Lepisosteus oculatus: one gene and its partner. The protein of the gene in region 1 purifies or fractionates together with the protein of each later gene. This does not show direct contact. Links are inferred from orthologs where the notes say so. Each region holds a gene or a part of one and is shown on either strand. Other genes may lie near its edges. The genes, in order: wdr59 and sesn2.

Region 1 (8,161 bases):
CTTAAGGAAAAAAGTATAACACGCTAAATCTGGCTAGCCAGTAACAGTTCAATTACAGCTCTCTGACCTCTTCCATATAAAACAAACACCTGGAGATTACTGTCCTTCATTTGCAGTACAATGGAATTAAAGCATGTTTGTGATCCCTCAACATTCTCCTTAAACACACTCACTTAAAGCAGGCGTGGCAGCGCAATGTGTAGCTCCTGGTTTGCCTGATGACCATTCCATTGACCGACAGCACGTGCAGCCCAATCTGAATGAGAACGTTCTGTTTCAAAAGAAAGTAAAGAGGTGTTCAGGGAAAAGGCAGTTTCACACAATTCCTGGGGTTTCTTCAATACGCAAGTGAAACATGGCTCATCTTTTCCAACACAGTCTTTGCGCTCCGGGGGGACCGAGCTCTCGACGGCGGTTTCATTGCAGAGTCACCTGCATGGCGAAGTCTGTGGTCAGGCAGCCCACTCTCACTTCGCCTGGAGCCTGCTGGACTCCCATGTTGAGCTGGACCTGTCTGATGTTCCTGGGAGTGATCCAGCCTCCGTCTCCACTTTCCTCTTCCTCTGAGCCACTCTCCGCCTCCTCCTCCTCTCCCACGCTCCCCGCTGTCCGGGACTCCCCGCAGCACTGATCCGCGGAGACGGGCGCAGGCTGCAGCTCATCGACAGTCGCTCCCGCTGAACTGCACGCGGCCGAGACCGTCTCGGCGTTCTGCAGAAAGACAACAGGCCTCCTTACAGCCTGGACAGCCGCAGCAGGGAAGTTCCAGACCTCGTTCAGCCTCGAGGCAGTAACACATAACCCAGCAGACGGATTCCAAAGCTGTTCTATAATTTACTCACGGAGTGGCTGAAGCAAGCTGATCAGCCATGTAGCTGGACTCCTTCAAGGAACGGCTGGAGAGTCTTGGAACAATACCAGCATGCTGGACCCAATGGCCTCCGCTTAGCTGTAACCTCTCTTACATCTTATGTTGCCAAATACAAGGTAGCCAGGGGAGCTGGAGCCTATCCCAGGAAGCTATGGTTGCAAGGCAGGATACACCCTGGACAGAACACCAGTCCATCGCAGGGCACACACAGACACAGACAGCACCCCAGGAACCGAACACAGGGCCCCAGTGCTGAGAGGCAGCAACGCTGACCACTGCGCCACTGTGTCCCCTGCCTTAAGAAAACATTAAAATGGTAGAGAAGGCATTAGAAGTAACATTTGGACTGCTGCTGGAAATGGAGAACAGGCATCCACTCCAGCTCTGTCCAGTCCTCACCAGTAACTCCAGCAAGTCAGCTTCAATGCTGGGCAAGGGGCTTCTCCAGAACTGGAAGGAGTTGAACTGGGCATCGTCTGGGGAGCTGGAATTCTGTGACTTGGAGCAATTTGGTCTGACTCCTACATTCTTGTCTGAAGTACCTTTCTGCAACAACAACAAAAGAAAAAAACACTTAAATCAAATATTGTCCACTATATAACCTACAAACAGGACTTCCCCATCCTGTTCCTGGATATCCTTGTATTTGCTGGATTTCCTTCTAGCGGAGCTTAATTACTTAATTGAAGCCTTAATTGAACTAATGACTTGCTTGATTGGAAATGTTGCAATATTTTCCTACTCAAAATTCTGACACAAGCTTCTTACAAAATGTGACAGTTAAAAGGCAATCTCCATTTTTTTAAAAGCTGATGTTAAAAATAAATCACATGAATCCAGTTATTAAGTCAATTAAGGTTCAATTGTGTAACTCAGAACTCAAGGTTTATTTTAGACCTCCAGGACTAGAATTGGAATCTCTTGGCCTGCTGTGTGGAAGTGTCCATCAGGAAACTGGAGCAAAATAAAAGTTGGTATCCTTTGCTGTTAACTAATTTTTGTGACACTTTTATCAGCAGCAATATTGATTTGTACAAGTGAGAGTTTTATTGGAGCAGTCTGAGTGAACTGCAGTCTGCAGTCCCACAATCTTCCAGCTATAAATCCAGGTCTCTAACCACTGTTTTGCACTGTTACTACTCTTTCCAGGATTGACGATCAAGCTAAATGCAGCTACTAAAAACAAACCTGCAAAAATGAATTTGCTTACACAGACTGTTACCTCACCTCATCATATCTCGGGACACTTAAACTGGAAAACAAAATTAACCCTACAGCTTGAAGGAGAACACTGAGCAGCTGGCCATGTCTGTGTTAAATATGTTTGTGAAGACCAGTCTCTATAGGTCCCAGCAGGATTCTGGTCACAGTGTCCTTGGCCTCTGACCTTAGACGGGATGTGGAATCCAGCAATGTTGACGGGTGCCTCTGGGTGTCTCCAGGTGCTGCACACTTCGACCTGAAACACAAAAATATAGGTTTTACTGTTTTATTCATTGGTTGCCAATAGGAAAGTTGTCAAACTGCAGTCTGCGCAGGACCCATCTGCTTTGGGTCTTGAAATCAGATGAACACATCAAACCCAATTTAGCATCTGCGCTCTCACTGCCTGTTAAATTTAGAGTAAAATTCAAAATTCTGCTCGCTTTTAGCCACTGACATTTGGTTCTGGTCATTTTATAGTTCTTATTCCACTCCTGACTCTGAATCAAGTGTTCGCGTGACGGGATTCTGTTCCCACTGGTCCCAGGCCTTTACTCGCCGACAGAGCCGCCTGTGTGCGTGTGGAAATCCACCTCCTCCTCACCCGGCTGAGCGCTTCACTGCAGGCACTACTCCCAGCACCAGTCTGTGGCTGGTGTGGGAATTTCACCCACGAGCCCCCGGGCACAGCTGCCGAACCCGGGCTGTAGAGCACTCCGCCTAGACACGCGAGGAGCTGTGCCCGCACTGCTGTGTGTCTGCCATGCACATTTTTATCTTTCTCTGCACGTTGCACAGCACTCCGGGACGCATTGACACACGAGGTGCTCTTGCGAATGAAAATTATGATAAAACTATTATAAAACCGAACAGCCGCCGTTTTCTTCTTACTTTCACTTCTGGTTCTGTCTTGAGGTGGGCGACGCCAAGGACCTCCGACTCCAGCTGGTAGGTCAGAGCCAGCACTTTAATGTCCGTCGCCGAGAGGCTTGGGTAGTCTCCGGTCTTTTTGGAGAATTCAGTCACTGGAATCAAAAAAGCAAGAACCAGGTGAAAGAATCCCAGTTGGAGAAATTGATTCGTGCACTGCCTGTGGAAGCCCAAAGGGGCATTTATTATAGCTAAGATTCTTTTGGACAATGCTGATACATCACAGTTCTGATCTACTGTACATCCTCCCAATGAGAGAAGCAAAAAGTGTAACAGTCTCCAAACATTTTAACTATTTTTATGGCATTGGCTATAACTGGTATTTTAACCAACTGGCCCAAGCCAAAACAGGTCCAATTTTGCTAATCCATACATGAACTTTGGCATAGATAACACTCTGACATGCAGAAGGTAGAGTTATTGCCAATAACACCAAAAGGCCCAAACATTAACTCACCAATTTGAATGAATTCGGGAAGGGGCTCCTTAAACTGCAGTTGATACGGCAGGAACGCCAAACTGTTCCTGGTCTGTTTGTCCCGGATTTCATTCACCACCTCTTTCACTGTGTAGATATTCTTCCCAAAGTCCTAAAATAGGGGCGACAAGACTTGTCACATGGGTAAAGAGTATATTTAAAGTACAATCTGGATATCAGACGAATCTTAATTTTGATTAGGAACAAGTAATAGGTTTATTCCATGCTGAAAAGAGAAGAAAGAAAATAAACCTATTACGTGTTTCTCTGCAGCCTACGCATGCTGACGCAGCTACCCACCTTAAATTTGATTAGTTCGACATCTAAATCTCAACACCTTAGGAACAACTGAAGATCCTTAAGAGAAAATGGCTACTAGTAAAAACCATTCGAATTTTAATATCTACAATACGGAAGAATAAAAACTACCACGCTATACCCCTGAGCCACTTCTCCCAGTGCGATAGCAGCGCACCAACGCACTCACACCTCCGCTGTCCCAGCACGGCACACCCCTGATTGTGAGCTCTTCGGTTCTGTCTGTACACGGCTAATACAGAAACAACATCCCTGTGCGCTCCGCTCACTCTCTTTCTCACCTGCAACGGCGCCTTCTTCAAAAAAGCTCCAGCATCCGCGACAACATGCTCCACCACGGCAGAAGACATCTTGAAACAGTTGCACAACCAATCAGAAAATTGCTAAATTTGCGCAGGTCAGAGGATTTCACAGAATAACAAAAGAGTTTGCCCCCTGTCGGTGGTGTTTTGCACTACCGAAAATGATCACGAGTCTGTTTACTTGGGTCAATTTTAATCAAATAAAATACTCTTTGCATTTTTTATTATAATCTACCAATAAAGAGGTATCTAAATAGTGTTTGCAATGATGCGATATTATTGGTAATGATGCTATACGAATATGATTTACCTATCAATAATAGCACCCTGTGTTCATGGTATTTCTTATAACCTACCTATAGCTGCCGACCTGTGTCAATTCTCATACATTTCTAGGTTCATCAGTAATACATATTTGCATACATTATCTGTAGTGAACGAGGAGGATGGACAAAGTGTAATTACACTTTTGGGGGTGGAAAGGAACTTCACCCACCATTGAGTAAAACACAGCACATAGCTGATTTCAGGAGGATACCGAGGAAGAGTTATTTTAAGAACAGCGCCATGTGATCAGTATTGACCCGGAAGTCAAGACCTTATGTTCATCGAGCGCAGCGAACTCTGGGATATAGGAACGCCCTATGGAGCGCCGGCAGCCGTGTGACGTCACGGTGTTGTTGTTATGGTGCTGAAAGGGAGGCAAGATGGCGGCGCGCTGGAGCAGCGAGAATGTGGTGGTGGAGTTCAGAGATTCACAGGTACTGTGGGTCTCGATCACGGGAAAGCGATAGATCTGCTGGTCGTGGTCGTGGAGATTTAGACTCCCGACACAACTGACCACGTCGAGAGCGTTCGCAGGAATGAGGGTTTTCTGTAACTTAGGGTTGTCACTCAGTCAGTTTGCAGTCAGTGCAGAAACCAGGAGTTTTGCTTTATCTCTTTAGTCAGCAGTTTAACACTGCGAAGAAGGGATGCATCAATGTTTTTAAAGTTTAACCTTTTCCTCAGTGTTAGGAGGCGTTCACTTTTTAGGGGACATAAAATCGAATGGATTCCGGGCTTCGATAGTCGGAATTGAGGATCCTTGCTCTGAAGTAAACATGATATAATGTTTTATTTGTAGAACCCTTCACTGAGTGACAGTTGGAAATTGTGGCTTATTGTTGGCTAATTGTGGTTATTTTGGTGTGTTTTATTCCAACCCCCCTCCCCCCGCTGAGTCAGCAGATCAGATGTGAGATCTGCCTCTGTTCTCCAGTTTGACCCCCAGCTCGATGCTGGCTAACTGACCTGTCTAATTTTCGCCTCCCACATCCCTGCTCCGTTAAGGTTGCATTAGGAAATGTATTCTTGTCTTGCGTATAAAGTACTGTAGTACAAGTATGTTTAATAGCAATTATCTACAGTGTGGTGAAGAACTGTAAAGTTATGGTTGCGTTAACATTGCAGTCAACGCTGAATGTTAATTTTGTGATTTTGAAGAGTATCCGAGAAGTAGGTGTCTATTAAAATAGCGTTCCAATTTCTCAGATTAAACCTTAACGATTCATCTTATTCAAAGCAACTTACAATTTTACTTTTGAGGTGTGAGTGTGCAGTTGTGCCTTACATCAGTACTCCACAACATAAATGTGTTCGTAGAATATCAAGAAAATCTTAATTGTTGTACCCAAAACAGGTTGATTTCACGTGGAACCTTTAATTCCTCTCAAACATTTTTATGGAATGAATATGTAATCAGTGCTTTAACTAAATTAATTCATTAAATACAGATCGCTCAATTTACCTTAATTTTGCCTATTTTCTGTTAATTGTATGACAATAATTTGGAACCTTTTGCTGCTCGTAATGGTGGGAACATTAAATCCAGCTGCTTATCAATTTACTAAAAAAACAAGGACAAAATGATGTTTATGGATTGTTAGTCATCTTTTATGTCCTGTCTCTGCAGGCGACTGCGATGTCAGTGGATTGCCTTGGCCGCCATGCTGTGCTGTCTGGGTGAGCTCTCTCATCAACCTCCAGCAGCGGCAGCCAGTGATGATGCACCATGAGAGCCACACTGCCCCTGTGGGCAGTGTTTTATTACAGCAGGACTCCGCTTTGCAGTACAGCAGTATACCTTTCGTAGTGTGGAGGGGTGCATTCTAGTGCATTGTACATAGTGAACAAAATCTAGATGGTGCGGCACTGAAGATTCAGAGTGGTGTGACACTGTTTTAGAGCTTCTCGGTAATCTATTTTATTTAAGGAAAAGTGAAGAATGTTGTCTCGACCTTTTGTAAAGAAGGTATCCGGGGTGGCGGTGTGTCCGCTCGGTGTGTGGTACCTGGAGCCGCAGCAGGTGTGAACCGTGTCCTGTCTGCGTGTCCCAGGCGGCGGTTCCTGTACATCGTGAACCTGGACACCCCCTCCGAGGCCCCGCGCAAGATTGGCCGCCAGAGCAAGTGGGACGTGGGGACGGTGCAGTGGAACCCCCACGAGTCGGGGGCCTACTTCTTTGCCGCCTCGGTGAGACTGTGGTGACAGGAGAACCAGACGAGATCGTTTGCCTCAACCTTTACTGCATCTGCACCCCCTTGGTTCCCCAAACATGTTCTAGCACCCCAGATCAAAGTCACTGAAGCAGTTTGGTTTTTAAATCCTGTGGTATTTAGTAACTATATAATGAAAGAGATAGAACTATATAATTTTTCTAAAATAGTTAAGAATATTATGGAAGAATTCAACACCCTTTTAAGTTTATCTTAAAATGCCAAGGTTTGGTGGAACAAAGTAGTTGTGTCTATGTGCCTGTGCTTAATTTGTGTTTTCAGTGATCCACCTTCTAAAAAAACCTTCTGTCGATGTGTTGGAAGTAAACACAGGGCTGGTTGATTTTCACTGTGACAGTGCTGAGAAGCACAGCCCAGGTTTCCCTGCAGTGGTTCAGTGCCAGTCTGACCCAGAGGCCTTCTTGTACTTGCAGAGTAACCAGCGGGTGGACCTGTACAAGTGGCGCGATGGCGCTGGGGAGATCCACACCTCGCTGCAGGGACACACGCGCGTCATCAGGTGACAGGCCGGTGGTTTGGGGTAGAGTGCTGAAATCAACAGAGAGAGTCTTTATTATTAGTATTGGTGTACAGACAGAACAAAAAAAAGTCAGGAACAACAATATACATACATATTTGCATAAAACATCACATGTTGAGTATTGATATGGCTACAGGTTATCCCCCTTTCCTGCCATAACTTGAGCCTGTTGCTTAGAAGTCCCTTCCTCTTGCAGAAAGGAATCAGTTAACCCCTTCTTCACATCTTGTATCTTTCTTCACAGTGCACATCACATAGTAGAGTATGTGTTATATATTGTGGCCAATGTGACCCACTTATTTGCTTTTTCATTGCACTATTGATAATGAAATCATAACTTAGTCTTGTGCTGCTTTTGTACTTCACAATGTTACATGGGCAAGTATAATTCAAAGGATCCTAGTGGAATATGCAGGACATGCAGGAGTAATGCACTAGTATCTGCTAGCGTGGTGTGTGTTAATACAGCAGAAGCCCAGTCCTCTCTCTCTTCCTGCTTTCCAGGTAAATGGTCTGACAGACGTGTTGTTTGTGCCTTGCAGTGACCTGGACTGGTCGTGGTTTGATCCCGAGCTCCTCGTGACCAGTTCTGTGGACACCTACATTTACATCTGGGACACCAGGTGAGAGGTGATCTTTTTGCTGTGAAGTAACATTTGTGAAAAGATCTGTTTTTTATTTTAGTTGTAAGGGTTATATTGCAAACTGCTTCAGATGTGGATATGTGACATATGTCTCGGTTTCTAGTTACATATCTGTTTTAGAGTTGCAAGTAATCAGATTTTGCAGATATCCTTCCTTCTGTGTTCTTCTATATGTTGGTAGGTTTTAAAATATGAAAATGCGTCCTAAGATACCTTTACTTCATGTTTTTCAGAGACACTCGAAAGCCAACAGTGGCCCTTTCTGCTGTCGGTATGTATTCGTTTTCGTTGATCTGGCCGTGATGTAATATCACCTCTCAGAGGGCCTCACACTCTT
Region 2 (7,452 bases), on another chromosome or scaffold:
GTCATATTTTTTGTTCCATTTTTAGTTAGCTGATCTTTTAAAGGTATTTCAAACAGTACATTATTGCCCAAACATTACTAGGTCCAACACCTTATGTGCTCTGAAATTCAGATATGCATCATAGGCAGGTGACCTTGTGCCTCCTATAGACCTATGAAAAGGCACTACTGCTACCCACATATTAGTGTTTTGAGTCACTTATGCTTCCCTTCCTGGAGAGACACAGCTGGGCTTCGTGGTCTTTGTGTTAGAGTAGTTGAGAGGGCACCTGGCACCGGGTGTTGTAAAAGTGCTCGAACATTAAGCAAACATTCCACAGTCCTACCCCATGGACCTGGTTGTCATGTCATAAATAGATATTGTCCTGTTCGTGCTAGGTGAGCTGATTAACTGCCGGCTATGTCAGGAAACACGGCATAAAAATCAATTGATTTGGGCTCATTCAGTCACTTAATGGCTCTCACAAAGGCATTTCTTCTACTTTCAATGCATGCAACAAGCCCACGTTTAGAACTTCCTAAGAATCTGTAACAACATAAAACATTTTAAATGATGGCCATTAACTGTGGGTCTGTTCCCTAGGAACATGGTGTTCAGTCAGTTTTGAAAAAAAAAGGTAACTTATCGCAACTGTTATTAGTTTTTATGCTACACACTTTAAAAAGTCTCCAAAGGAATAAGCAAGAAAATGAATAAATACTTCTTTGATATTAAATATTACTCCAACTATCACTCAAAAACCTCTTGAAACACACTTCTGAACATGTGATGCTTTCAAACCAGTGCCAGGAAGGCTAGGACAAGACTCCGAACACCTGGCTTATCTTAACACCTTAACAGCTAAACTAGCACAGTGTTCCTGTGGGGACACTGTGGATCCAGCTTGGGTTTGCCATGCAATCACCTGTCATTTAATGCTGGTTACCATGGAAACACATTCTGACAGAAAACCTATATCACCTGCAGGCAATGTACATCCTGCATCAGATGGTGCAGAATATTTCAATTCTGCTCAGACAATTCTTGGGGCTCTGATAAAGAGATGAACTCTGACCTCAGCCTTTTTTTTAGCTCCTTTACTGAGTTCCTTTGTGTTTTGTTTCTTCCTGGATTCTCAACTCTAGACTGTCTCTGACCACTTCTCTGGATTTGCTCCTTTTTGCTTTGGACCTGTTTGTTTCCCATGCTTTGAACTTTGCCCACTTGTTTCGATTATAATTCTGGAATTCCCTTTGTGCTTTCACTGTTTCTCCAGCTTTGAACTATGCGTGTATCTCGCCACAATCCCGGACTGTGTATGCCTGCACCATGCTTGCCTGCACTTTCCCTGTGTTGACTCTATCTCTTACCCAGTGCAGGGATTCATCTTGTGCCTCACAGATGCTGCTCAGTCCCACCTTAAGCACAGATATGACAAACGTAACTTTTACTTGGCAGATTTAGCTTTGTCATCCCAGGGTAAAAAACCACCATGGCCAGAGACAAGGAATCCAGAGAAGAAAAAACAGAAGAAAGACATGGGATTTTTCTTACAAAAAACTTTATTGACTGGGAAACAACAATGCATGGAGTAGCAGTCTGTAGAGACAGCTGCACTAAAAAGAGTCTTTACATAAAAGTCTCAATCCAAACAATAAAATAAAATAATTTAAAAAAAGTAATCAACTGCAAGAAAACATCTCTGGTGATTAAGTCCTTCATTTGCAGTCTGGGAGGTTTATGTTTGACTTCTGTCATTCATTCATTAAAGATGGGAAGAACACTGCAGGCATTTCAAGCAGCCTAATTAATTAAGTCATTTATTTGCAGTTGCAAATGCACTTTAGCATGCCTGAATCAAACATGTAAGAACTAATTCAATTTCATGGGCACTTAAAAATCTGTGAATCCTTCTTTCACATAGATCTGATTTGTAATTGCGCCCAGCTGTAGGAATTACACTGCCACTGTATTATAATTGATCTTAATAATATAAATACACCAGACAAATTCACTTAATGAAAACACATGCTGTTTTCATGAACTAAAATCAATATTACCCTACAAATAATTCATAAATGATCTGATCATTATAATACACTGAAACGATATGACCTCCATATTTTTTCCCATTTTCAAAATGAAAAAAAACATCTAATTCAAAATTAAAAACTATTTCTAAATAGTTAAAATAATTAAAGATTAATTTTCTAATGTTTACACAGGCAATAAGATCATGATATTACGACAATTATGCTGGTTCATAATTAAAATATGCAGGTCATTAATAACCTTAATTTCATTTTTTTTTTTGCTATTATTTGTATACATTAGTGACATTAACTATTGAAAACTACTCACTTTCAGTCATGAGAATATATTCTTTATTCACAAATCAGAGGTATTAACTGTCAGGAGCGGGATTTGAACCCCCACCCCAAGTCAGAGACCAGAACACCCAAGCAATGGAAAGACGTAAGTCATGAAATCAGGTATCTTAGACCACTCGGCCATCCTGACGAACTCTAAGTCACAAATCAGAAGTACTTTAATGGTCAAAGGAAGAAGAAAAGCATTTTAAATTGCATCCTGGGAAGAACTGGGGTTCCTAGTGGAGGAGGTCCGTGGAAATAAGGTGTGCATTGTCTGCAGTTTCCTTTTCTCTGGTTATTTACACACACCAGTGCCATGCAAACGCTGTCACCCTCTGCCACTGATATCGCATTTTGACATTTAACTTTTACATATAAAAGTGTTCAGTTTGAGCCATTCAAGTTTCAATAAAAAATGCATTCACTTCCAAGAAAATGCGCATACTGTACTGATGTTTAATTCAACAAAGTGAGACATCATTGGAAGGGTGTGAATCCTATTGCAGGACACTCTATGTGTGGAAAGAATTGGTATCGATGTTTTCGACTGCACTGTTTGAATGGAGTGATTTAGTCGAATTATTACAACTTTCAACGCAACCTGCCCAAGCTGTCATGTGAGTAAATCAAGTTGTTTTTTTCATGATGAATTGTAGAATGACACGAAACTTGCGGATAGTGGTTATTTGTAAAAAAAAAACACGTTTTAAGTCTCACTTCATTTCTTTGCGGATTTTAAAAAAATAATATTCTTCAAAAGTATTGGAGCTGTGCAGTCCCAGCTCGTAGAGATATGTCGTAAAACTCCAAACACACGGAACGAATAATATAATAATATACAGTAGACAGCCTTGTTTGTGAAAGTTTTAAAACAGTTTACCAACAGCGAAGTACTCTGCTTAGCCGACCGCGCAATGAAGCTGGGCAAGGGGTACGCGTGACTACAACGCCTCTAACGGTAAGAGATAATAAATGCACTCCGTTTCCATTTTCTGGATATATAAGCTACTTGGATGTAAGATAAATGGACCATAACTAAATAAATAAGGAATAATTAGGAGCATGTTATTAAAATATTTACTGTATAACAAAAAAAATGTCTTCAAGTTTCAAAGTGTGCCCCAAAACCACAGTTTGAGAAACTCCCAAAGGAGCACGTTGATCATCAGCAGACCCGGTGTCAACCGCGTTCGCTGGGCCACATACAGCTACTTCTAAACATCGTCGAAACAATCAATTTCTGTTCAGATTTTAATGTTTTCTTTCCCAGATAACAACGGGAAAGAACAATAAGTACAATATAACCACGGTCACAAACAAGAAGGGGAATCAGGTTCCTTTGGCTTATTTTATTAAAATCGCTTAACACATCTCATCTACTTCTGCGATTCTGAAATAACTTCACTTCTCAGCCACCGTAGTTGAGTTTCCCTACTGCGTTTTTTGTTGGTTGCAAGGGAGCCAATCACGAGCACCAAATACATTTTACATGGGTCTCCGTGCTTGTAGTCCCTTGTATATTTCGGCTTCATTGGTGTGAAATATGGGATTGTATTTATAAAACTTCAATTCCCATGAACTGTTGTACACCGTTGCTTTTATCTCATTACAGCAGCTTCGGAAGTAATTGCATCAGCTGGTTTCCTAACGATCTCGTTCTTTTAGCTTGTATTTTTCCCTTTTATCAGTTTAGCATTTGTCCTCGATTTTGCTCAAACGTCAGCAATTTACGGGGTTTTTTTTCGTCGTAACGAATTATCGCCATGGATGCAGTTTCTGTTTTTGAGCTCTGAATTCCAGCTAGCCGTATAACAGCACCTGAAGATGGCAAATATGTTTTGCACTACGCAACGAAGAAGCTTAGAGCATCGTTTAATACTGGTAGAAAAATATCTGCTGTGTCTAAGTTTATTTATAATAGTATAGCCATCTGAGCATAGGGCCAATAGCGCAGCGGAAGATCATAGTGACTTTTTGAATTAATCGACTTGGTCATATTATAAAAATGCTGGAGATGACTCCTGTTCCTGTCTCAGCCTCGGAATGGAGCCAGGCAGGGGACCCGAATCAAGAGGAGCCATGTCCGAAGCCATCGAGGTCCGAACCGGTGTGGGACTCCAGGAAGTTCGAGCGGCTGTGTAGCCGAGACCAGAAGGAGCGAGCGGCCGCCCTGGACGCGCTGACCCAGGCGGTGCTGTTGTGCCTGGGTAGCGAGAGGCCCGGCTTGGCGGAACCGGGAGAGAGTTCGCCGAAGCTCGACAAAGAGACTCTGCTGCAGCTCCTGAGGGTGTCCAAGAGCTGCCCCTTCCGCGACATCAGAGAAAAAGCGGCAGAGCTCCTTCACGCCGCAGAGGTGAGAGGGACATGTACAGCGAAACCGCAGCTTGTATCCACAGACAAGTGTTGTTGTAGATCCACCTGCAGTAGTTGTGTATGGATGTCCTTGCTGACAACTGAATGTTTGGATGATTGGGGAAGGTTAATGCGTTTTATTTCTCATCACCAAGCTCTTTTTATTTGTCTTCAAAATCACCTATTCATTTAAGTTGTAAGCCGATGACAAAAGTGGTTCATCATAAACCTTGTTCTTGAACTCCGAGAGATTGAGGTGTTTAACATAGCTGCAGGAGCGGTTTATAATGTGTATTTTGTTATTTTTTTATTATTTGAGAGCTTCTTAAACACCTTGGGACAGATCAATAAATATTTCTCTTCTTCATTCCTATTTGTGGTCTTGCTCGCAACCTGGTCACTTTAGCCATGAGGTGCTGTCCTTTGGATGAGACATAAGACCGAGCTCCTGACTCTTCTATGAATTGGCTACCTTACTCTGCTCTCCTCCCCACTGATCGCTGATGTATGGTGAGCGTTCTGGCGCACTATGGCTGCCGTCACATCATCCAGGTGGATGCTGCACATTGGTGGTGGTGGAGGGGAGTCCCCATTACCTGTAAAGCTCTTTGAGTGGAGTGTCCAGAAAAGCGCTATATAAGTGTAAGCAATTATTATTATTTGTGGTCATTAAAAATTCCAGGGCGTTTCTCGAAACGAACAGGAGAGTTATCTCGGTGTCCTGGCCAAATTTCCCATTGGCCTTTACCAATCACGGTTTACAAATAATCCCCATCTATGAACTGGCTTCATGCCTCTGTTCCCCTCCCCACTGATAGCTGGTGTGTGATGAGTGTACTGGTGCTTTGTGGCTGTCGTTGCATTAGGCGGAGGCCATATATTGATGGTGGTGGAGGGGATTCCCCAGTACCTGTAAAGCATTTTGAGTACAGTGTCTAAAAATGTGCTATATAAGGATTGTATTTATATTTATGGGTTTGTTATTTATTCTATTTATTATTCATTTATGCCAAAGGTCTTGGTGATGCTGAAAACCCCTAGGATACTGTAGCCTCCACTCTACATTATTATTTCCTCTTGATATTTGGTACCGTGGCACATTTCTTTGAACACAGCAGCCAGCCAAGATGTGACTGGTTGTTTGAACTGTTGCCATTGTCTACAGTATATTCATGATAGCTTGCGGGTGGCATGTTTGAGCAGTGCTGGGGCCCCGGGTTCAATTCCCAAGCCGCTGTCTGCGTGGGGTTTATAGCTCGCCCTGTGTTTGTGGAAAATCAGCTTTGTTGCAAATGTGTGTATGTCTGCCCTGTGATGGAGTGCCATCACATCCAGGGTGTATTCTGCCTCGTGCCCGTTGTTTTTTGGATAGGCTCTGGCTTCTCTGTGACCCTGAATTGGAAAAGAGTTGTTAGAAAATGGCTGGATGGATGGGTAATTGCTTGCGTTTATGTACCGCATTACGTATAAGAAGACATCCACACCACCCACCCCTGGAGCACAGCGCCAGCCTGGGTGATGCAACGCAGTTATTCTTCTCCAGCAATTCTACTGCACAGCAGCGAAATGACAAATTTAGCAGTGAACTACAGCGGAACTTCAGTAATTCCCCAGATGTACAACACTAGGGTTGAATTTAGCTGGCAACACTGGAATAAACACCCTTTCTCTTTACAATTCCAAACGACTGAAGAACTAAATTAGTGTCTGTAAATTAATGGGCAGCAATGCAAATGGTATAATTAGTTGTTTTTAGGATGGAGAGATTGAGTCTCCTTCTTCTGTTGCAAATGTGCTCTGTAGCACATACTTCTCACACTGACCCCTGAGGGTCAGGGCAGGGTCATCTTAGGGTAAATACAGACTAATTGGTTAGATGGACCTGACTGATTTATAAAACCTGTCCCTCTTCATTAAAGAGAGAACTATGTGAACACTCACCTTCAGAGTCTTTAGACGAGTCCTTCTGAAAGGCTGGTGCATTGCAATTAGAGCTGCTACATTATTAACTTCATTCCCATTTTTTTGAAGGCTGTTTGCTTGTTCAATATTGAAATCTTTGCTGAATTGTAGGATGATTGCATAAAATCATAGAAGACTCAAATGCATTACACCGATTTGCTGACGTATCCAACACAGCTTTGTAGAACTTGGTTTTTACTGGAGACATTTTAGTTGAGTCCCATGCTTTAGAGTGGAACAGCACCTGGAATTCAAACCTCTAACCTGCTCATTATGAGCAGAAATCCTAACCGTTGCTCCACACTATTGCCTAGTCACTGGAATAACTTTTACTCTACTTCTCAGGTCTGCTGTGCAGTGATGCAACACCGATAAAGGCTGACATTTTAAAAACATTCACTAGGTCATGTCATCTGTGCTGAAGACACTGTATAGATATACTGTATACTGTATCTTGTTTTAATTGTGCATACTGCCTATTTTTCAAAGAACACCCTAGTGATAGTGAATTCTGAATTACCTTAAGGTTCTCTCAGGTTCTCCCTTTTGAACAAAGAATCACAAGAGAACACACAGACTCCTGAAATAAGTTCAAGACCTCAAATGACAGAAACCAGCCTATAATATGTCTGGTGCTTGCCAGCTCCACAGCTCAGTAGTCCTTTGCTTTTTACTGGTTTCAATCCCAAACATTTGTGCTGTTAAAATGAGTAAGGACCTATGCTGGATTGAATTACCTTGACTAATCACTGGATTAATCTAAAACTAAAACTGTAGCATAGATTTA

What was found.
Region 2: the proteins of wdr59 (region 1) and sesn2 purify together in Homo sapiens (affinity purification with western blotting; 4 studies listed by BioGRID and IntAct, with this or other methods). This does not show direct contact. The link is inferred for Lepisosteus oculatus from reciprocal best matches to the Homo sapiens genes WDR59 and SESN2.

The regions. Positions count from the first base shown.
Region 1 is NC_090715.1:16,379,373-16,387,533, reverse strand, and holds the start of wdr59 (GATOR2 complex protein WDR59), read left to right. Parts: upstream 1-4,757; 5' UTR 4,758-4,809; coding exon 4,810-4,863; intron 4,864-6,056; coding exon 6,057-6,106; intron 6,107-6,480; coding exon 6,481-6,616; intron 6,617-7,073; coding exon 7,074-7,159; intron 7,160-7,722; coding exon 7,723-7,803; intron 7,804-8,057; coding exon 8,058-8,095; intron 8,096-8,161. Other genes in the region: RNA-binding protein NOB1, read right to left, coding at 174-271, 433-711, 1,271-1,417, 2,259-2,330, 2,966-3,099, 3,462-3,594, 4,082-4,150, 4,599-4,601. UniProt on the Homo sapiens protein: As a component of the GATOR2 complex, functions as an activator of the amino acid-sensing branch of the mTORC1 signaling pathway. The GATOR2 complex indirectly activates mTORC1 through the inhibition of the GATOR1 subcomplex.
Region 2 is NC_090706.1:9,644,603-9,652,054, forward strand, and holds the start of sesn2 (sestrin-2), read left to right. Parts: upstream 1-3,953; 5' UTR 3,954-4,356; coding exon 4,357-4,704; intron 4,705-7,452. UniProt on the Homo sapiens protein: Functions as an intracellular leucine sensor that negatively regulates the mTORC1 signaling pathway through the GATOR complex. In absence of leucine, binds the GATOR subcomplex GATOR2 and prevents mTORC1 signaling.